Drosophila melanogaster: one gene and its partners. The protein of the gene in region 1 interacts with the protein of each later gene in a pairwise test. Each region holds a gene or a part of one and is shown in the gene's direction. Other genes may lie near its edges.

What was found.
Region 2: the proteins of ND-15 (region 1) and CG14478 interact in a two-hybrid assay, tested with the Drosophila melanogaster proteins (one large-scale study listed by BioGRID).
Region 3: the proteins of ND-15 (region 1) and CG6195 interact in a two-hybrid assay, tested with the Drosophila melanogaster proteins (one large-scale study listed by BioGRID).

What each region holds. Positions count from the first base shown.
Region 1 is NT_033779.5:111,081-119,099, forward strand, and holds the start of ND-15 (NADH dehydrogenase (ubiquinone) 15 kDa subunit), read left to right. Parts: upstream 1-3,645; 5' UTR 3,646-3,911; intron 3,912-4,284; exon of another isoform or gene 4,285-4,632; coding exon of another isoform or gene 4,633-5,037; exon of another isoform or gene 5,038-5,408; intron 5,409-5,889; exon of another isoform or gene 5,890-6,250; coding exon of another isoform or gene 6,251-6,679; intron 6,680-6,739; coding exon of another isoform or gene 6,740-6,996; intron 6,997-7,055; coding exon of another isoform or gene 7,056-7,224; intron 7,225-7,280; coding exon of another isoform or gene 7,281-7,794; intron 7,795-7,850; coding exon of another isoform or gene 7,851-7,996; intron 7,997-8,019. Other genes in the region: Sam-S (S-adenosylmethionine synthetase), read left to right, coding at 1-37, 1,610-2,289, 2,354-2,462; CG13694 (uncharacterized protein), read right to left, coding at 4,633-5,037; CG4822 (uncharacterized protein), read right to left, coding at 6,251-6,679, 6,740-6,996, 7,056-7,224, 7,281-7,794, 7,851-7,996.
Region 2 is NT_033778.4:17,453,801-17,462,021, forward strand, and holds the start of CG14478 (uncharacterized protein), read left to right. Parts: upstream 1-3,862; 5' UTR 3,863-4,072; intron 4,073-5,015; exon of another isoform or gene 5,016-5,279; intron 5,280-6,797; exon of another isoform or gene 6,798-6,866; intron 6,867-8,193; 5' UTR 8,194-8,221. Other genes in the region: CG10764 (uncharacterized protein), read left to right, coding at 96-141, 229-374, 427-1,032, 1,109-1,157, 1,253-1,389, 1,448-1,824; robls54B (roadblock similar 54B), read right to left, coding at 1,964-2,278, 2,338-2,361; robl (roadblock), read left to right, coding at 2,771-2,773, 2,837-2,915, 2,984-3,195.
Region 3 is NT_033777.3:19,645,567-19,652,750, reverse strand, and holds CG6195 (uncharacterized protein), read left to right. Parts: upstream 1-4,340; 5' UTR 4,341-4,458; coding exon 4,459-4,522; intron 4,523-4,619; coding exon 4,620-4,820; intron 4,821-4,873; coding exon 4,874-5,538; intron 5,539-5,619; coding exon 5,620-5,781; 3' UTR 5,782-5,821; downstream 5,822-7,184. Other genes in the region: CG6184 (uncharacterized protein), read left to right, coding at 1-134; CG31219 (uncharacterized protein), read right to left, coding at 410-809, 922-1,489, 1,652-1,721; CG31220 (uncharacterized protein), read right to left, coding at 2,219-2,630, 2,694-3,303, 3,841-3,910; Nup58 (nucleoporin 58kD), read right to left, coding at 5,885-6,601, 6,663-7,184.

The sequences.
Region 1 (8,019 bases):
CAACCGCGAAGAAGAAGACGTCGGCGCTGGTGACCAGGTACAGCAAAGCTTTCCGTTCTTCTACTACCGCCTAGCACTAAGTGATGCGGAGTGTGTGCGTTCGTTCGTTTCGTTTCATTTGTTAAGTGTTTCCCTTAATTCGTATCTTTCCCACATTAACTTGGCTTGCTCACAGGCCAACAAGAGTTTCGCCTTTGTCATTAAAAGCTGATGAGCAATAGGAATACTATTACTATAACTATTTTTTCTTAAGCCCCAAAAAAAATCAAATTGACTTGTTTCCCACAGCTACGAACCATTTGGTCGAAGACAACTTAACAATTTCACCTCAAGCAAATATATAACGACTGAAATACATAACATATCACACATTTGGATTACACTGCGGGCGTTCTCTAACCACATAAATTGCATTCAACCAAATCCATTGAAAGATTTATGTAATCATTAAAATTCCGCTAGTTACCGTTTTATGGAAGCAAGAGAAGTCTTGCATGCGGCTTGTCTGACCTATGGAAGAAGGCTTAAAGTTTTCCCAGACTTTGGTATATAGAAAAAACACCAAGAGAGTGCTTATGAAGATTGTAGAAAATACATTTTTTTGTAAACCGTTTTTATATATATAATTATAATCTAAAATAATAGGGTGTTTAAAATCATATTATGAACATTACTTACAGACATTTTCCTGTGTATGTGCACCATTGCTGCGCTTCTCTCTTTTATCTTTCTTTTCGTTTCATATTAAACCAATCTCGATACAATCCAATACCAAACTTTAAACGATATTGTGCACTTCGCAATCGCGCTTCGAAATTCACAAAAGGTTTCGATTTCAAAACGTGCAATGTGCTGTTGGCATTGGACCAACAATCGCCTGAGATCGCTGCGGGAGTGCATGTCAACCGTGCCGAGGAAGAGATCGGTGCCGGAGATCAGGTGTGATTTAGAAGCAGTAAAGAAGTAGCAGTCTCGGCAGGCCGGGATCGAAGGCCCTTTCCGAAGAGCAACGCATCTTTTTAATTTTTATTGATAGCAATTTAGTTGCGACTAAAATATTCATGGTGGTAGGGCGTTTATAAGCTCTTTGGAAGGGGTGTTGTCGCCACTTCTATAATTTCTGTTTATCGTTTCCTTTATATATTTTCGTAACTAATTGAAGTAGTGTATGACGACTTTATTGCTATTTAATTTTAAATTCATCTGTTTGCCACTATATCATAATAGCGCTGCAATATTGCTCCAACCGACCTACCAACCATATGATCGTCTTTTTTGTTAATTGAAGCTGCCAAATCCATATCATTTAACTTTTGACTTTTCAGTCGATACCATAATTAGAATAGCAGACACAAAACTAAGGCACACTACTGCATATATATACATCACTAACATAATTTTGTAAACAACTTTTTGACTCCTAAGTAGCAACAATTAATTCATACCCGAATCTATCACCCATGCTTGATTTACCCTTTCCTAACCCAAATGTGTTTTATTTATCTAACGCTACTGATTCTTTTTGGTTTTGGTTACTTTTAAGTGAATAATTAATGATTAATTAATTAGTGATAGAGATTATTAATGAAGCGAAATAAACTTTTTGCAGGGTATCATGTTTGGATATGCCACCGACGAAACCGAGGAATGTATGCCCCTAACCGTCGTTTTGGCTCACAAACTAAACGAAAAGATTGCTGAGCTGCGTCGCTCAGATGTGTTCTGGTGGGCTCGCCCCGATTCCAAAACACAAGTAACCTGCGAGTACCTCTTCAATCAGGGATCAGCAGTTCCCAAGCGTGTCCACACTATTGTAGTGTCCATGCAGCATTCTGAAAAGATATCGTTAGAAACCCTGCGCTCGGAAGTAATGGAGAAAGTTGTTAAAGTAGTCATTCCCGCCAAATACATTGATGCCAACACCATTGTCCACATCAATCCTTGTGGGCTTTTTGTAATCGGTGGACCAATGGGTGACGCTGGGCTTACAGGAAGAAAAATCATTGTAGATACTTACGGAGGCTGGGGCGCCCACGGCGGCGGTGCATTCTCTGGCAAGGACTTCACCAAGGTTGACAGATCAGCTGCATATGCAGCACGCTGGGTGGCCAAATCACTGGTTAAGGCCGGTCTCTGCAAGCGCTGCCTTGTCCAAGTGTCCTACGCCATAGGTCTTGCTGAGCCTCTCTCCATAACTGTGTTCGACTACGGAACTTCTCACAAGTCACAAAAAGAACTTCTGGATATCATCCGTCGAAACTTTGACCTCAGGCCCGGCAAGATTGTCAAGTAAGTGTCAAACTCTAGATGCTAAAAAATATTTCATAACAATTGTCTATATTTTTGTTTTAAGGGACCTAAACCTGCGCCAGCCGATATACCAGCGAACAAGCACTTATGGACACTTCGGTCGCGCGGGCTTCTCGTGGGAGGAGGCCAAGCCTCTGGAGATTGACAACTGACTAGACGCTGAAGCGTTGCAACCGCAGTCACCATATGCTAAAAGGTCGAAGCTATCCTTATATTCATCAGCGTCAAAATTAACAGATACCCAAGCACCAACGTAATTTTTAGTGTCGTTTTTAAAGCCTAAAGTCAGAGGAGAAGGCGGCATAGGCTTGCCAACTCTTATGGGCTTTCTTCTCTAACTTATGCTGTGCTCTTCGCTATATAATTTAAACCATTCTGATGTGTGTAGTCTTCTCACACGGAACTAGTTTTAGTCGTCTTAATACCCGCATATATACCTAATAGAGAGCTCCAAAAGAATTGATGAGCTTTAGTTATGCATATACATAGTATAGTGTCGGTCAGTTCAGTAAAAATTAAAGCAGTAGTTAGTACCTCCTTCAATTATCATGCAACTTAATTATGTTGGTGTCTATGGAAATTGTATAAAACAATTAAATCCGTTGCCTAGAAATTATGCAACATTCTCATGTCCCCATTGTAAACTTATTTTTGTCTCTTTTAACATTTCTATTTGTTGTATGCGTTGTATATGTTAAACCTAAAGTTTTAAACAACTCGATTGTATGTACATTACACTCTGTCTTTGTATTTTCTGTAACCAACCATAAGATAATGTATTTTCCTTTACAAAAATATATTAAAGATAAATATGAAAAGTATAATTTTACCGGTATGCGCAGAATGAAGACTTTAATCGTACAAACAACAGAATTTGCAATGTCTTTACAACCAAATAAAGTCATCATAACCCTGGTTTTTCACAAAAACATAATGAGACAGCGCCCATAAAAAATTACAAATATTTGTGTACAAGAAACCCAATTTTCTTTAAAAGAAATCATTTTTCATATGAATATTGCAATAAATTTCATGACAGTTTATTTTTAGTTATTGTATTGTTTCGCCTACTATATGGGATATTTGCAACAATATTAATATTTATTTTTCTGAAATTCGGTAATTTATAGAAATGTGTAAAGATTTTAGTAATTCAAAATTTGAATTTAACAGTCTTATCCAGACGCCAAGATCCAGGGAATGCAATCGATATATCGATATGTCACAATCAACAGTTATTCGCGCAGCCATTGTGATTAATTCTTTAACGGTTTGCGTATTGGTTTTTGCGCAGAGCTAAGCAATGTAAATTCACAAATCTGACGGAGTTCCCAGCTGCCGGACTTAGTGTAGTGAAATTAATAGTAGAAGTAGTTTTATTAGTGTCCCAAGTGTTATTCTCAGCGGTCTTGCAAAAACAACAGGTCACTCCTGTGCGCTATTTAACCAACGCAATTGATCTGCATGTCGAAGATTTGTACGCGATCGCAGGCAAGAGAGGCTGGTAAAGATTCCGTTGTTTAAATTAATTCCCATGATTGCATTTAGTATGACGCCCTATAAGCTGTACCAACAGCGCGGAATGCTGCATTCGTTAAAAGGTAAATGATTGAAATTGTTTGTTTCTTTAAATATATTTATATGCATATGTTTGTGTGAATGTGAGCTTGCGAGCTACATATTTATATACGTACATATGTACATATGTACCAATCAAAGTCGCAAAAATTGGTGTTTAAAATTTTGATTGCAAAAGGTTACGATCTTCATATCATTTTTAAGCATGCGTTTTGGTTACCGTCAGATTCAGGATACAGTTAAGATAACATACAAACTGTATATGTATGTACATAAATGACATACACATGTAGGTTTTAAGTCGCGCAAGTACAGTTTCAGTATACAGTTATAATAACATTAGAACTGTATACATATGTACAATAATGACATGTAAACATGAAAACGAACATACATACGTTAAAAGGAATTGTATCTCGGACACATTTTATTTTGTTTGAATTACATTTGGAGCCGTACAATCTTATTTATGTAGGTAATACAATTTTCCTTGATAGTTGTTATATCTGTTGTCAAGCTGATGTCCTATAAGAGAGCCTTTACTGTCACACTGGTCCAAGCTGGTAGGAGAATCATCCCATTCAAATTCATCCATATTTGTGTCCTCATCGCTTTTCGAATCTTCATTATCCAGGGAGGGAATGAAGAATTTTGAGCTTTATGTTTTGAAATGCTATTTCGAGTTTTTTGGTCATGAATGTGACTCTTTGATTGAGCAAAACCACTCTAAATGAATCATTTTGTTTAGCAGCCACCATCATGTTGGTATTGAAAGATGGGGACCACATAGCCATGACCTTGTCTTCTTAGATCGTTGGCACAACGTACTTGATTGTGGAACTCGCAGAGCGTGGCAAATGTCATATTGCGGCCATTGCGGAGAATGCAGACAGGCCGGTAGTACCGGGGACAGCTGCGCTCGCACGGATCCTCATCCCGGTCCAAGCCGGCGGCAGTAGCCCTGCCATCATCCTCTTCATATTCATTATCGTTTGAATTCTCATCACCGTCGAAATTTTGATCATAATCTAGAGCTGTGTAGTAGTTATAGCTTCCCAAGTCTCTGTTGCTGTGATGGTCTTGCCAGCTCCATTCCTCCACAATGGTGTGCTCCGTTTGCACCTGTACTGCGAATGACAGGTGGAGCATGGCCAAAACAAGTGCTATGAATGCGTAAAACATACTGCTTTGGCTCCTATCGATCAACTGTATTCACGGCAGTCCAGTTTCCTTGCCTCTTAAATAGACAACTGTGCGCCAATCCACAGCGACGGCAGTTGTTCAAATAATTTCCATAATTAACTTTGTCGGTTTTTATTGTGACGGCTCATATCACAATTGATAGAGCTACCAAATAATTTGAATACTTTAAAGTGAATCAAGGGAACAGGCGAAGTCATACTTTGCCGTTCTGACTTAAAATTAGTCTAAAGGCAGATAGAGTTTGGTAACGAACGGCGCAGATCTTTAACTCAATCCTAAATTCTAATCTTGGGCAAGACTTGATTCTAACTCTTATGCAATTTGAAGCATATCTACATCTATATATTTTTATACCCGTGACTCGTAGAGTAAAAGGGTGTGCTACATTCGTTGAAAAGTATGTAAGAGGCAGAAGGAAACGTTTCCGACTGTATAAAGTATACATATTCTTGATCAGGATCAATAACCGAGTCGATCTAGACATGTCCGTTTGAACGTCGAGGAACTATAAAAGCTAGAACGTTGAGATTCAGCACACAGATTCTAGAGACAGATATTTGTTGACCTTTGTTACCACGCCCACTCAAAAATTTTACACAATTTTAAAAAATGTGTTGAAATTTTTTCATTTTTGATTAGTCTTGTAAAAATCGATAGATCGATTTTCTAAAAAACTTTTTGCAACTCCCTAAAACCGCCCAAAACAGCCACACCCAGAAAAATTATGAAATTTCGCGTCCGCATTTACACTAGCTGAGTAAGGGGTATCTGATATTCGGGGAACTCGACTATAGTATTCTCTCTTGTTTATATTTAATATTTCCATGATATACATATAAACTTACGCCATCGCATAAAAAAGTAAACCCACTAATATTTTTTACATATTTGGTGAAAACAATTTTATGCGTACTTAATAATTTATTCGTAGTGTTTCTTCTGCCTTGTTAACAATATGATCGAATTATAGTAATTTATTGTTCCCTTGATTATATTTGTATTCTTGATCATAAACTTTTATTCAGAATCCAATATCACTTTGATAGTTTATTAATATTATTGAAGCCCATAAATAATATGGGAGGTTAAGACTGTCCCCTGAAATACCGCTTAAAATAATTTTTCTAGCACCGAGGTCAAACCGCCCATGTTGTTAATGTTAGTAATTGTACGAAGTAAAGTTAAAATATTTCGTTAACAGCTGTATGACATATGCAAAAATGGGGCTGACCTCGGAGTGTTTCAGTCGCAGTCTAATCATAAAGTATGCTGCTACGGTGAACAGCAAATAAAAACTCATCAAGCAAGATAGAGACCACAAATAGTGCATGTTTTCGAATCCTAAAAAGGCTAACAAAACTTTCGACTTTTTAAATGAGCAAAAGATTTCCGTGTCTTCGCAAATTGTGTCGGCGCGTCCGTAGTCGTACAAGGATGCGACTAGGCCTTCCATACTATGGCGAAGGTAGCTAAGATGCATGAGAAACCTCATAAGAGGGGATATGTATGTTCCTCCGCCATACCCAATGCCGTAAATGGAAAGCAGGATCAGCGGCACGGCGAGAACTGGCCCCATGAACATTGCATTCTAAAGTATAAGTGAACTAATCAGGATATATTAAAAATAAATGTGCGCCAAATCGCTTACCACTAAGCTCAGTCTACTGGAGATCAACAAGCCAAAACTGTCGGAAGTTAGGGCCGTTACGAAAGCTATTGTAAATAGCATGGCAAAGCGGAACCATTCAAGTGGTTGGCTGGACATTAAGTACACAATGGATAGATAAATAACGGCCAAAATAAACATAGATGGTAGCTTTGAGGTAACCATTGCTGCGTAGTAGGAGCTCAGACGGTACCACTGGTTGTTGTACTCCCTTTTTAACAGATTGATTTCCGTGGGAACTTAAATGTAGGTATTTATTATTAAGAATTACTGCTTGAGGTTAAAATATAGTACTTACAATATAAGAGCACAGGCATCATAGGAAGGTAGAGGTATGCTATCACAATGGTGAACATGAAACCGAAGTTAAAAAGCGCTTTAGAGGCCGAGGTTCCCATACCAAAGTAGAGCGAACCCACCAGTAAAGCAAGAACGATGTTCATGTAGAACTTAAGCTTGATGTACGACTACGGAAAAAATAAAATTACATTGCCTTTCTACGTCGTTTTCTAAGTGCACTCACCTTATCTCTCCACATTTGGATTAGCATACGCACAAGCAATAGCTTGTACTGTAGCCACCAGCTACATTTGGCCTCCAAAAGTTTTGGGCTAATCTCTTCGTCAAACTGATCCCTTTCGTAAAACGACGATGCCCCCGATGTGGTGTCGGTTTTGGTTGTTGTTGTTTCACCTTCCACTGCTGGAGGACTCCATCGCGCAACTTTGCCGTTGCCCACGGCTTCTACCATTGGCTCGTGATAGGACCCGCCATACTCAAGGCAAGCAACTTCGATAATGAAGTCAGCCGGGTTGTAGGTTATTGGACAACAAAGCCCAAAGTTCTTCAAGAAAGGTACAATGTTGGACCCCTTTCCTTGGTAGACGCACTGGCCTTCGGCTAGAACGTAGACTGCATCGAGCATCTCGAAGATCTTGGCAGATGGCGTATGGATGGAGCAGATCACAGTGCGCCCCCCGGCGGCCAAAACTTTGAGTAGGGCAATGCATTGTGAACTCGATAAATCGTCTAAACCACTGTTGAGTTGGTGGTAACATTAGTTCTTCGACTTCAATATTTATCTTATACTCACGTTGTAGGTTCATCTAGAAAGATGACAGGTGGGTTGTTGACCAGCTCAAGGGCAATGCATAAACGCTTTCGCTCACCCCCAGATAGCTTTTGAGCCATGGTGTTTAGGGTGTCTTTTAGGCGCAACATTCCCAAAATTTCGTCAATCTGCTCAAATGTTAAGATAAATA
Region 2 (8,221 bases), on another chromosome or scaffold:
TGTCTCTGTTTCCTAGCTGTGTAATGGGTATACAGTAGTCGCGATTACTGTTCTTGCCTTCTCTATATATTAATGAATATATATTTTTTTTCTAGGTTTTGTGTTAAGTGCTGCTCATTGCTTGGTAAGAGGATATGATCTGTAAGTGAAGTTCGAAGTTACAATAATTCGTGCTTACGCGGTTAATTTAAAAACGAATATATAAATATGTGGATTTATGAAATACAGATACGTGAGGTTGGGGGCACGCAACATAAATGAGCCCGCTGCTGTCCACACAGTCATTAATGTCTTTGTGCACCATGACTTCATTGCATCGGAATACCGAAATGATATAGGACTGCTTCAACTGTCGGAGAGTATCGTCTACACAGGTATGTATGCAATTTAACCACCGTAGCCCCATTTCAATGCATTTCTTCGCAGTTCGAGTTCAACCAATTTGCATCTTTTTGGATCCGGCTCTCAAAGGGAGTGTTGAAAAATTGAAAACGTTCAGAGCCCTTGGCTGGGGAAATAGGAACGGAAAATTGAGCATAATGTTGCAAACCATCTATCTTCTACACTTGAAAAGAAATGAGTGCAAACGCAAATTGAACTTTAATCTCAATTCAAGACAGATTTGCGCTGGAACCAAAAATGGAGACACCTGTAGAGGCGATTCTGGGGGTCCCTTGTCCACGAATATATTGTTTCCTTCCAATAAAAGTTATGAGGTGCAGTTAGGAATCGTAAGCTTTGGGGATCCAGAATGCCGTGGAGTAGGAGTCTATACCGACGTGACCAGCTATGTGGATTGGATCTCATCGACAATAGCTAGAAATGACTACCTACCAATCGGCGTGTCCGGGGGAGACATTGCCATGGGCAATCCCATTGCTCCTGACGCTAATCGGCACTGGACTCCTGCGGCTTCACCACCACTTCCTTCGATGTTGTACAATAGCTGCAGTCAGGATATCGCGGCACCGATCGCGCAGCTAAGAATTTATTGGCCTGGTTCTTATGCCGTTGGCGTATTAATAACAGATCGTAAGTATACTCTTTCACTCGAGAATTCCACAATTAAATGAGTATAAATTTAACAAGATTGAGTTTCTTTTCTTAGAATTGATCATCGCTGCTGCCACAGACCTGCCCACAGTTGCCGCCTATTTGTAAGTTGTTCGAAGGATTATCCCTTGTGCATTAACTGCTATTTTTCACATTAGTTACTAGTTTATTTTGATACCATTTTAAATTAATTATTCAGATACGTGTTCGTAGTGCTCGAAGGAATAAGCGCAATCAACCAAATTGAATCGGTTTCAAAGCACCCAAATTTTACTACGAATGATTACCGAAATGACATAGCAGTACTCAAACTTGTTCGATCAATAAGCAGCACAGGTAGAACATACCTACTATCATAGCAATTGCCTCGATTTACAGTTATATTCTTTTACAGCAATGAAACCCATCTGCATTTTGACAACGCAAATATACCAGCAAAACGCCGAAAAGGCTCGAGAATTGAAAATAATTGATACAGATTTAGCTGAACAATTCGACGTCAGGCTAATGGAAGGGAGCCAATGCGCGAAACATCTCGGATTTCAAATCAACGAAAATCAAGTGTGCATGGTAGATCCATCCGACACAAGTAATCCCCGCCAGAAACGTAGCTACATAGTGGTTGGAGGGATGAATGCCAATGGCCAGATACGCTACATTTTGGTGGGCATTTTCAGTTTTTCATCGAAAAACATACTCGTTTTTACGAATGTTATGAGGCACACGGATTGGATTCTTTCCTTGCTATATTCGTTAAATACGTCATCTTAAAATATTTAAATGCCTTAAAAATGTAAAAGCACGTGTAAATACCAATTACTGACATACGAGTGATTGGTACATGTTTTAATAATAAAGTAACATACGCTAACGAATAAGAAATTGTCTTTGAGAAATCTAAAATATTTAATCATTTTTCGAAGTAATCATGCGCGTTCTGTACTACGAGTAGTGTTATCTTGGAGTCTGGCACCAGGAGCACCTCGTTGGTTCTTGTGCGTATTCTCAGCATTAGTAGTTCGTCCGTGGGATCTATTTTACTCATACCGCGTTCCAGTCTTCCTCGAATAGCCTGAAAAGGTCCCGAAAATTGGACAGCATCCTCTCGGTCCATCGTACTCATCACCGGATGTCCCGACTCGTTGAGGATCACTACATCTCGAACATGTTTTTTCGATTTGACCAGGTCGAATGCTTTTTCCACATATCGTAGAGTTCGAGGTGGCTATTTAATGATGTAACCTATAAATAAATATAATTACATTCAATATGGAAATATTTTACCTTTTGTGGAAGATCCGGAAACATATTTCTCGTCTGCTTTGAAACACCTTGAACTTCGTAGTAACGGTTTCGTGAATTTTTAACCTAATTTTTTTTGTTTTCTTGGTTTCCAAGGTGCGTGTTGCTATATGGGTCAATATGCCAGATTAAACAATTCTGTGTAGTTGTTATTAATGTATTGTTAGTAAATAATAAACTTATTAAATTATTCAATCACAAATATTTTGATAATTACCGTTGCAAATTTTTTTCTCATTGAAAACTTCATATCGATATTTTCTGTTAACTTATGTGGAAATCTGTTAAATTAACAATGAACAATGTGCCATCACTGACAGTGCATCTCTAATATTGAACAAACAAAGTTTACTATTTCATTGAACTGCAGGTAGCGGTAGTGTCTGCCGTGTTTCCAACAAAATTATAAGAAAAAATGGTAAGTAAGAGTTGTGCATACACAAAAACATTAAGAAAATAACGTTACCTTCATGGCTTACAGTCGCAGGAGGTTGAGGAAACACTCAAGAGAATCCAGAGCCACAAAGGTGTTGTGGGTACAATTGTGGTCAACAATGAAGGTGGGTGGTTCAACTGCACCCCAGTGTGTGCTAAGATATCTAACTAATTCTCAACGCCTCCCAAATAGGTATTCCGGTCAAATCCACGCTGGACAACACTACCACCGTTCAGTACGCTGGCCTAATGAGTCAGCTGGCGGACAAGGCACGAAGTGTGGTGAGGGACTTGGATCCTTCCAACGACATGACATTCCTGCGGGTGCGATCCAAGAAGCACGAGATCATGGTGGCACCCGACAAGGACTTCATCCTGATTGTCATCCAAAACCCAACCGACTAAATGGCATGGTGCATCGCGACTATTGCTGAATTATCTGCACATTTATATCTGTATTCTAATCATCAGCGTATAAATGGAAAGTTAAATTATAATGTAATGAAATTGTACTCCATACAATAAATATATTTATGCATAAAATGACATCACGTAAACATTTTGGGCTCTGTAAACTTCAGGTGTTTTCAGCTGTTAGTCCGCTATAACTATTGATAGGGGCATTCATTCTTTATTTTCAAAAACTGAAATATGCGTTCTCTAATTGAAACAAATGACTCCAAAAGATAAATTTATTTTAACGCTAATTCTAACACGAACAATTAATTATTATAATATTATTATAATTATTGAAGTTGTTTGATGTTTGGGTAGTTGGTTTAAGCATCCGCTTCACCGACGTATTTATCGAATACTTTCGAAGCGAGAGATATGTATTCTCTTGTTACCTTTGAAATTGTTTCCGTTGCTATTAGGTGAACATTTATGTTATGTTGGCAATTAAAGACTACCACGGCTTGTACATAATTGGAAAGATTACAATAATTACAACGGTGTGGTAATTATATCCTTTAAAAACCATATGCAGGGACAGAAGGTATCGAATATGTATAAAATAACTTCGATAGTAGCAAAGTCCCAGACTATCGATGTTTGGCCATCGTCGTTGCACGCCACGGTCACACTGATGCAAAGTCGAGGAAGACGGATTCGTGTGTCGGTGAAAACCCGTGAGTTTTGCGTACTTGCATTTAAAGAAAACCCCTCAACGGAATAGTCAATAAATTGATTGGAGAGCCCAATCAGCCACCGTTTCGACCCAGTGTACGCGTGTGCAGCGAGTTAAGAGATCCACCGATCGATCAAATCGTATTGAAAAAAGGTAATTCGAAAGATGGGCGTGCAGCGAAAAGCGAACGAGTAAAGAAAATGGCGTAATCACGCACTTCGAAACCCAAAAGGCAGCCAGCAAACGCAACGCAAACGGAATCCAAATCCACGAACCCTCAATCGGCCAGTCAGCATTACTTTGGGTGAAAAAACGAGCTATATGAACGTGAAAAAAGTGAATAAAAAACGTAAAAAAAATGTGCTGCAGCCATATTTGTTCCGTGAAAATGAAAACGATACACACACACACACGGGCAAAGTCGAGTGTATATAGTCGTCGGTGCATATATATCTGTCTATACATATGTGCTAAGAATTAACTAAATAAAATGAAGCACTTCGTATCGGATCGTCATCGCACCGTTTCGTTGTTCGCAATTTCATTTCATTTCCAACGCGATTCTCGTTCAACGTACGTTGGTACATAGCCTGCCGTACATACATACGTACTTATGTATGTACACATGTACTTTCAATATCGACGATGGCATCACAAAAACACGACGCGCACACAGACACGCACGCACGTACCGTACAAACAAACAGACGTGCGGACACAGAGCAGGGTCTGTATGTACGTACGTGTGTTTATATATGGGACTGGTTGTTGTTGTACATAACGGAGAGTTGAACACATAAGGGCTGGCTGGCTCAATATAGAAAGAAGCATGTGGCTGCGCTGTCAGCGTCGCTGCCTGCAGCGCGTAAGGGATTTTATTACGTCGGACGTTTCGGTCGTCGGTCGCTGGGTTCGTTTTATATTTTTGGATATTTTACACATGTCCATATGCCCGTCTATTCCCCTGCATCATCTGCATCCTCTCCCACATGCATCTCTCGTTCGCTCTCTTTTCGCGTGCGTTTATGAATGTGTGTGTGTGTGTGTGTGTGCGTGCGTGACTCCTTGAATGCAACGTAACGGGAAACGGGCGACTGCAGTCATCAAACGGGTGTAAGGGAGACGGTCGTAGCCCCCCGCAACGCATGGCTCCGCACTTGCGTTCATAAACACAGTGATCACCCACGAAAACGACCTCGTCGAACAGGACTCAAAAGTGCCAAGTGAAAATCATTACGAATTACGGAAAATATACCGAGTGAATCACCTTAACAGCGAAACTGCGTCCCAAACATGAACCAGTGCACTGAAGAAAAATATTGCTTATTACTATTAGTTTTATGATTAAGTGCTATATACGGTTGAATACTATACATTCTTATTGCATACTACGCTCTTTATAAAAAATATGTCAAAGCAAAGCTATTGAAAATCTTATATTGGTAGAAGTTGTTGAACTTTGCTGTGCTTGTTTTTTCATATTAATACTGTCATTGTGCATAAAATTCCGATATAAACCCTGTAGAACAAAGTAGATAACTATATAAAGGGCTAGGCTTTTCAATGTTTTCCCGCTTTGGAGGCCCTGTAATTTCCAACAGGTTCAATCCAAGTTAGGAACAGAATTTTTATTGTTTCGAAGATTTTCAACTGTCGATTTTGTATTTTACCACGTTTCGTGTTATCCACTCCCAATTGATATAATCATTAATTTGATGTGATTTTCTCTGAGTGCATATAAACAGTTGCCTGAACATGACTCAATTCCTTAAAATTTCATTAGTCAGCCGACTTAAAAGATCTCGTACCGAGTTCAGAGACTTATCAAGGGCGTATGATTAGATTGTACAAAAAAAAAAAAAACAGATACTTTTAGGCCTGCCAGCATTCCAAGGGCTTTGAAACACTGGCGACCAGCATCGTTTCGAGCTTGAATCTATAGTTTCCCCACCAAGTACAACCAGTTTTTTTTTCGTTTTGTTTCCCATTTTTTTTTTCTTCGGATTTTTTTTTTTTCTTCGGATTTTTTGGCCGAACACAAGGCCAAAGTTCACACAACACTAAACAAAGGTTCTCGAACCATTCGTTGTTGTATGAACAATGTGCCGTATCTTATCATGTGCGTTGGGAATTCGCAGAGCAGCAGCAGCACAGAACTATCAATCAGCCCGGCGCTTATTATCTATCTCTACAGCTTTTAAACTCACAACTTCCCTCTAATTGCGCAAAAGAATGCCGAGTGCGCAATCAGCTTGGAAAATGAGTGGAAAATGCTGTGCAAACGATCAAAGCCTGCAGCTGTTCTACGCAAATCGTAGAAAGTCGTATCCACATAATGATAATTAGAAAACTTGGCAAAACAGTTGATCAAACAATCTGATTGGTTTGGTCTTAAGTTTCAAATGGCTGCTACGTTTGACGCACACATACGGTTGTAATATATACTATGTAAAGATTAAAATAATGTTGATAGGTGAAAAAATCGTCAAGCTTATTTATTGACGGTCTCGATTGTAATTCTCGTCTATAAACTGAACACTTTGGCACGTTTTCACTTCTTCCTATGCAGATAAATGTACTGCAGGCAAGTTCTTGAAATCAGCTGCCCATTTTCTCATCAGCTGTTTCTTACTGAAGAATTCGCGTTTTGGGTGTGACAATGCAGTACTGTAGGATCGATTTTAAAGGCTAAGTTAAGCAACCATTTCTTGGGCGGATTCCTGCCATATTGGCTGCTTATTGGTAGGCCATCCCCCAGCATCTTGGCAAAAGCTGTTCGTTCTGACAGCAGCGCGTCGAAGGTCTCCTCCCGTTGAACTTTCGACCCGCTGACCAGGCCCCGGTGAAACTTTTGCCCCAGCTAGTCAGCAGTCAGCAGTTTCGAGGCACACAGCTGCAGCAGTTTCGATCGGAAAGCGACCGAGTTTGCTGCAGCAGCTACACAAAAGTACACAGTAGTCCTTCGGTTGACACAGCCACCCCGCACACATACAGACACACACACACACACACAGACACAACAGATATAGATATATGTATATGTATGCAGGCAGCAGCTTTCTTCCCTTAGGCGAATCGAAAACTCGATTTTCATCCCCGTGGCGAACAGAATTTAGTTTTAATTTCATTACAGACTACAGGCGAAGGGAAACAGTGGAAAACATGCGTATTAAAGTCGCTGTTTGCTCGGAGTAGGGAAAAATCTATTCCCTGGGAGTGAAATTTATATGCGCGATTAGATATAGGTGTGTTACATGGTGGGATTTCTGGACAGTGCCGGGAGTGTGCGGGGATTATGAATGGGGCATGTGCTGCGTGCGCGTGTCGGCATAGGAATCGTCATAGCCAGAGTCAGATGATAACACGGCAAATACATACAAGTACCCCAAGTTATACCATAAAGCTAATAATATAGTATGGGATGTGAAGTCGCAGCCTTATCGCTCTGCTGGTTCGAACAAAACCAAAACATAAATAGCGTCGAACCGAATTCTTAATACCCTGACACTGTTGTCTTTTCTAAATATGTTAAAATACCTAAAAAAAAAAATTGTAACATTTACATCAAGACTCTTGATACTCGTGAGTATGAAGAGAGAAGAAAGGATTCCGAATTTCCTTCATTAATGATGTAAAATCTAGTATACTCTGCGAGGGTACACAGCAAAATAACTAACACCAATACCAGTGGGAAACCTATTTTTGGATTGCCAATCGCTAAACAATTCTCTCTGCAGGATTTGCAACACCTGCTCTCTGTTTTCGGCATCTTTATCTCGCTTCTCCTTTTCAGCCGCTGCACTTTTGACCCTTCAACCACTTGTTTTCGCTCGAAAAGGAGCACACAAAAGAATGTTCTATATAGGTACCGGAAAAGACCTGCTGGCAAAAACCGAAAATTGCAAATTCTGAAGCTGAAGCAGAAGCAGAAGATTTCCAAAAAATGCCGAAAACAAAACTGCACATGTGTGTGTGCTCCCATTTTGGTTTCTTTTTTTTTTTTTAGTTTGTACTAAAGGCGGTTAGGGGTAAAAGAAAAAGGGACCTGAAATCCGAGCTCAACGAACATCTGTTCCAAAATATACTGTGTGTGTGCTGGTTGTTGATTTCACCAGGCGAAGAAAATATTGAATACATGAGTGCATTGTATATATCGCTTGAAAGATATATACAACTGGCACAAACACAGTCACATATCTACATACTTACATGCATACAATGCAAAGTGTGAAACAAGACTCTTTTTCACATACCTGCTTTTTATTTTATTCCAGGTAAATCGACGTCGACAACTGCGGAATA
Region 3 (7,184 bases), on another chromosome or scaffold:
CCCGCATCGGGATCACCTGCACCTGTCGCTCCCTGCGGCCGGGCGAGGTTTGCTCGGAGCTGGATCCGGTGGAGTCGCAGCGCTGGACGGAGTTTATGGGTAACTCGGGACATGGCTTCTATGCCAACCACTAAACTTAGCTAATCGCTAATCGCTGACCGCGGAGGATTCGGCGCCGGAGGATTGGGTCCTTTTGGCCACCGCAGCCGGAACTACCCGCGCCAGCCTATCTCTTTCTCTCAATGTCTCTGTCAACAGTCACTATTGTAATTTATCGTCATTTGCGTGTTGTGGGGTTTCTTGTAATCGTAACAGTATTTACCTGCGTGTATTTGTGTATATTTTACGAGTTCTTTTGACAAAAATAAAACTAATCCACTTTAAGCTGTCTTAGCATTGCTGCCGACATTCAGGGCCTCAATACCGCCTTTATCCATGGCAGGAATGCACTGGTTCTGGTGTAAATTCCAGGAATGCCAATCTGGCCGCAATTTTTACTGCCATAGGTGGTGATGCCAGCCAAGTAAACACTACTATTGTCCATCGTTACCATCAGCGGTCCACCGGAATCCCCTTGGCAGGTATCGACGCCATCGTAGCCGCCGGCACAGATTTGGAGGCTTTGGTTGAGGTCCAGATACGGAAACCTTAATGCGCACACTGCGATTGACCTTTCCCGGATGAATCCGTGCATCAGTACTTGGCTAAATTGGCCCTCATTTGTTTTGCCCCATCCGGCTATTTCAAGTTTGGATTTCGCGAAAAAGCCGTGCTTTGGAATACATATTGGCATGATTCCTGTCCTATAGCTGGAAAAGAAACACCAAAAAAATATCTATGAGCATTATGAATCTGAACGAATTTGCAAGAACTTTTCGGCAACGGAAATCAACGGATATTTTCTGTGAAAGCATTACTCACCGCACTGGCATTTTGAGTCGTAAGAGGGCGATATCGTATTCGATGTTCCTATTGCTAATGCTACTGAATAGCCCATGCACTATGATCTTCTCCAATTTGATCTCCAGATTTGGAAGGGCACATTGGTTATCCTGGTCCCTGCAGTCCGGATTGTAGGCTGGATCATAGGTGATGTCATGCTCGCCAAGACGAACGCTTTTCAGCGACAAGTCACGTGGAATTCCATTTACACAGTGGGCTGAGGTCAGGACATAGCGGTTGTTGATCAAGGAGCCCGCGCAAAAGGGTAAGATCTCCAAGGTGGTTGTATTCAGGTACAGGAGCATGGCCATCCAGGGGTATCCGTTTGGACGCGCCTCCGAACCACCCACCATTCGGTATGTAGATAGACTTTGGCCGCAAATCTCTGTGCTTGGGAGCCTATTGCCAGGCGGAGGGCAGCAGATCCTCTGGCCGAACAACAACCAGGCATCCATGTCATACTCCCTCATCAAAGTCCTGGACCTGCCAGCGGTATATACATGGGGGCACTCATACAGGTAAACGTACTTCTCACCCGGATAGCAGTCTAGAATCGCAGATTAATCATAGATTGAACGCTTTGATAACCTTTTTTTTATATTATTATTGTAATATATTTAAAAACAATAAATAAATTCCTGATTATGATTCACACCAAACAGTTATACTATTCACAGTCGTATTCAATTTTATTCCGCACGCTAATTACCAGAATTCGTTGAATGGGCCAATTGAATGAATACTACTACGAGTGCGAACGGAATGCATGAAATGAACATGTTGAGCCGTAAAGATTTCAATTGTAACTAACTTATCCCCTCAACTTTTTGTGGTTATGGCATTTCGAATGTTGCCAAAGTTATTTGATAACGTATCCGAATGGAATTCCCGAAAATTACGTCACACATACGAGAGTGTATATGTATGCAGCTTGTTCAGATGTTAGATTCTACGAAAGTATTTAAAAATCAATTCGACTGAAACTTTCCAGATGCATATTGGTTATCAATCGTACTAATTGCATTTTTATTCATATTCAGCATTACTCAATCTGTGCGCTGGGCTACTTTCTCAGATCTTCTTATAAATCTCCAGCGAACTAGACTTAAATAAGAAATCCTATCCTATTGGACCAGTAAACTCCATAGCTTCTGCATGCATTACTATCTTTCAATTGGAATATCAGTTGTATCTACTATAGGGAAAATGCAATTTTCATCTTATATTTTGGTGTATATATATTTGGTCAACATTATATTAGTATGTTCAACAGTTTCTAGGGCCTTAAGTGTGCCCGTATCCATTTGTAAAACTTCGCCGTTCGTGTGAAAACACTCGGCCAGCCAATCGTGCCGCAAGGACCTCCGTATGAAGTGATGCCGGCCAGGAACGTGATTGTCTCGTAGCTGCGACCCGATGTGCCCATCAATGGACTGCCGGAGTCGCCGTCGCAGGTGCCCCGGTTATCCAAGCCGCCGGCGCATATCTGGAATCTGGGCCCGAAATGCCGGTGTGCGTACTTTTCCGAGCACTCTTCTGGTTTCCTTACCTTGACGGCAGCGTGTTTCAGCACCTTGCTCCCAGTGTCGAACATGCCCGTTTTTCCCCATCCAGCCACGTACATCTTGAATTTCATCAGTGACCTTGGGTAGTCCAGAACGCAAATCGGATAGTAAGCCATCGTATATCTGATGGATACAGACAAACATGTTAGTAGATAGTAATAGGTCGTTTGCGACGTGCTGACTCACCGCACTGGCTCTTTGAGTCGCACCAGGGCGATGTCGTTCCGAAAGGTGTAATTGGCTGGATCGTAGTCATTATGCGATGTGATCGACTCCACGTCGATGTCCAGATGTGTGGGAGCGCAAACGATTCGTGCGCCCCGGCTGATGCAGTCCGGGTTATGGGACGTTGTGTGCTCGCCCAGGCGGACGCGTTGGATTTGCAAGACCGTATCGGTTACACAGTGGGCTGCGGTCAGGACATAGCGAGTGTTAATCAGGGAGCCACCACAACTGGGGACTAGCTCCCGATCCGGGTTGAAGGCACTACGATTTCGATATAGAAGCATGGCCAGCCACGGATATTCGTTGAGATTCGGCTCCGTGCCGCCTATAACACGGTTAGTCGTTTGTGGCTTCCCACAATCCGGATAGCTTGGCAAGGTGTTTGCCGGCTTGGGACAGCAGATATAAATCCTTTTGTAACGTTTCCGGTCTCGAACACTCACGCCACACATTCTTGTCTGCGATATATTCACTTTTGCGGACCCCGACAATCTGTTTCTCCTCACATTGTAATATATGGGTCGGCAATCCTTAAGTCGGATGCACTCCTCATCCGGTTCACACAGTTTATCTATTGAAAAGTAGAGAGTGTTCATAGTGTGTTCATAAATTGTTTTAATCTTCCTTCACAACTCACTAGTCAACTTATAACACAATTTCCAAGCTCTTTAATGTTCTTACCCGATCTACAAGCATAAGCTAAATGAGCCATCAGACAACAAATGAGGATCACCATTAAAGAACCAGTTTCCTGTACGAGGAACATTGTTTCTCAGACTTTGAAAAGCAACTGTTTTCAACAAGGAACTGTTTTCAAAAAGCAACTGTTTTTAAAAAGCAACTGCTTTTAAGTGCATTCAGTAACTGTAGCAATTGCGCGTGAGTCAATTACAAAAATGTAGAGATAGTCGAGAGTTTTGACTTTATGAGGAAATTTATGCGATATTTATTAATGTCTGACTTATGACGTTATTGAAATGATTTAATGGCGATATCATTTAAATTCAATTACGTATTCCAAGCCGATAAACCAAATATAAAGTGGATCTACAATATTATATGGGTTTTATGAAAGACACTAGAACAACGAGATGCGTAACGGCCATACATTGGTTTGCACTGCAGCCACTTTTATGGCGACGGCAAAGATTGCCCTCCGTCCGCTTGCGTGCACACATCAGTTGTCGGCTGTCAAGCTTCGCTAGGTGGAGCCTGTGTGCACTTTAGAAAACGTTCGCTTTGCTGCCTGCGAGTGTGAGTAACGGGAATCTGAAAGTCGAGGTAATCGATTGTTAGTATTGTCATGCGAGTGCAGTAATTTCAACACCTGATAAGCTTAACGGCTTACTTTACGTGGCTTATAAATCGGAATATCGGAAATAAAACAGCGAGATATTTATTTACGAAATACCATAGATAATCCTATAGACTACACGTTAAGCTTGATAAAATAACTCCGCTGGCAAAGATTTTTGGTTAAATATATTCCTTAATTTATGATTTTTTTAGCTTTAGACAACAAACTGCTTTAACTAAAATAATAGGAGAAGCACTGTTAAGATAACTTCACGGCGTTGCAGTTGTTCCACAGCCGCCCCACTACCTTGACTGCCAAAAACAGCTGATCGAAATTCCGGGCGACGCACCGCTGGTCAATAAATAAAAGCGAACATTTGTTTAATTTGAACTTTTGCATGCTCTGCCCCGAACTAAGAGAGCCAACAGCATGGGCATCCTAGAGAAGATCGCGGAGATCGAGCGAGAGATCGCGCGGACGCAGAAGAACAAAGGTTTGCGAATAGTGCCGCGCTGGCCATCGGAATTTAGGTTAGGATTCTGTAGCTGGAAGTTTGCTAAATCTGCATGTTTTTCATCCCCCTCCCATAGCCACCGAATACCATCTGGGCCTGCTGAAGGCCAAGTTGGCCAAGTATCGCTCCCAGCTGCTGGAGCCATCCAAGAAGGGCGAAAAGGGCGACGGATTTGATGTGCTCAAGAGCGGCGACGCCCGGGTGGCCCTCATTGGCTTTCCCTCCGTGGGGAAGTCCACAATGTTGTCCACTTTGACCAAAACGGAATCGGAGGCGGGTAAGTGCATGCCACACACCGCCCAAAAGCGTCTCACTGTTTCATTTCGACAGCAAACTATGAGTTCACCACTTTGACCTGCATTCCGGGTGTCATTGAGTATCAGGGTGCCAATATCCAGTTGCTGGATCTGCCCGGAATCATCGAGGGCGCTGCCCAGGGCAAGGGGCGTGGTCGTCAGGTCATTGCCGTAGCCCGCACCGCTGATTTGGTGCTGATGATGCTGGACGCCACCAAGCCCAACGTTCACCGGGAGCTGCTCGAGCGAGAGCTGGAGAGCGTGGGCATTCGTCTGAACAAGCGCAAGCCCAACATCTACTTCAAGCAGAAGAAGGGCGGCGGCCTGAGCTTCAACGCCACCTGTTCCCTTACGCGCTGCAACGAGAAAATGGTCCAGACCATCCTGCACTCCTTCAAGATCTTCAACGCCGAGGTGCTCTTCCGCGAAGACTGCACCGAGGACGAGTTCATCGACGTGGTCACCGCCAACCGTGTGTATCTGCCCTGTCTGTATGTCTACAACAAGATCGATCAGATCTCCATCGAGGAGGTGGACCGCTTGGCGCGCCAGCCAAACTCGATAGTGGTTAGTTGCAACATGAAACTTAATCTGGACTACATGATGGAGGCGCTCTGGGAAGCTCTCCAGCTCATCAGAGTGTACACAAAGAAGCCAGGCGCTCCTCCAGACTTTGACGATGGATTGATTCTGAGAAAGGCAAGAGACTGTTTTCCATTCATCCAATTCCTTCTTCAGCCTGGTAAAGCAACTCTAATTCCTTATATATTCCTTGTTTAGGGCGTCAGTGTGGAGCATGTGTGCCATGCCATCCATCGCACGCTGGCGGCGCAGTTCAAGTATGCCCTGGTGTGGGGCACCTCCACGAAATACTCGCCGCAGCGCGTGGGGATTGCCCATGTGATGGCCGACGAGGACGTCATCCAGGTGGTGAAGAAATAAAGATTGTTGCGTGTGAAATATATATTCTATGCTATAACTGAAAGTGAAAGTCTAGGCCCCTTTCGACATAACGATTTATTGAAACTTGTAAAGAGTGCCATTCTCAATTGCCTGTCGCATTGCTGGCGGAACTGGCCGCCGCTGCATAGGACTTGTTCATCAGAGCCGAGATGTTGGAGAAGGGCGTTGGACCGCTACTAATCCGTTGAGGTTCCACCGTCGGCAGCGGAGGATTGTCAATCCGCTCGAAAACGTTGGTGGTGTCTCGCAGGCGGTAGCGTCTGAGGTTTAGGTAGTGCTCCTTGTGCTCCTCCACCCGCTGATGCACCTCGTGGAGGCGTCCCGCCAGCGAGATGAAACTCTCATTAAGTTGGCGAAAGCCACGCTTTAGATCATCCGGCGAAATACTCTGCGGATTCGAGATCGCGTGCATGTGGCGCTCGGTCAGAGCGATCTGCTGGCGAAAGGCGATCAAATCCTGCTCGTACTTCGCCACCAGGCACTGAAAGTACTGGAACGGAGCATTGTTCTCGAACTGCAGGCCGGCTGGGGTGTCCTGCGTGCGTTGGGCCATCTCCAGAGATTGAATCGCCTTGACGGTCTCTTGGCGCATCAGGCGGATCTGCTGATTGCTGCCCTCAACTAAAGTGGCCATATTCTGCAGCGCCCATTTCAAGTTCGTGATCTCGTGGCTGACATTCGTGAATTTGGAGGTGGATGTCCGTCCAATGTCAGAGGAGATGGTCTTCTGCTGTTTGATATACGCTTTTAGGCCATCCACCGTTTTTATTATCTCGTCGGGCACTTGGGTTTCCTTAATCTGGAGTGGTCGAAAATAAAATGATTATTTTGTTTCTCTGTGAAAGACTCATGGTCAGCACCTTGATGCCATCTTGCTTATTGTCCCCCAGCTTTGGTTGCGTGGCGGTCACATCGATCCCCCCCAGACCCACGAAAGTCGATGCTGCCGGGGCAGCTGCCTGACCCGCTGGCTTGCTAAAGATTCCTCCTCCTCCTAGGGTTGTCGTCGCATTGGTGGTTCCCAGTTTCAGACCCGTGTTGAAGGGTTGTGCCGTCGCCGTCGTCGTGGTTGTGTTAAAGTTCAAGCTGGCCGCCGTGGTGGCCTGTGGCTTGGGGAAGGAAAACGATCCAATTCCGGAGCTGAGGGATGCTGGCATCGCAGCTGCCGCCGTTGTGGCGGTGGTGCCGAATCCAAAGGCCGGCGGCGCGGTGGTCGGCGCACTTGTGGCCGGGGTGGCAAAGGAGAAAGTGGGAGCCACAGTGCCCACGGCTGGTGCAGGTGCTCCGAAGGCCGATGCTTGCGTGGAAGCTGGCGCTCCAAACGCCGTTGTGGCTGCTGGTGCTCCAAAGGCGGATGTAGCGGCGGGTGCTCCAAAAGCGGG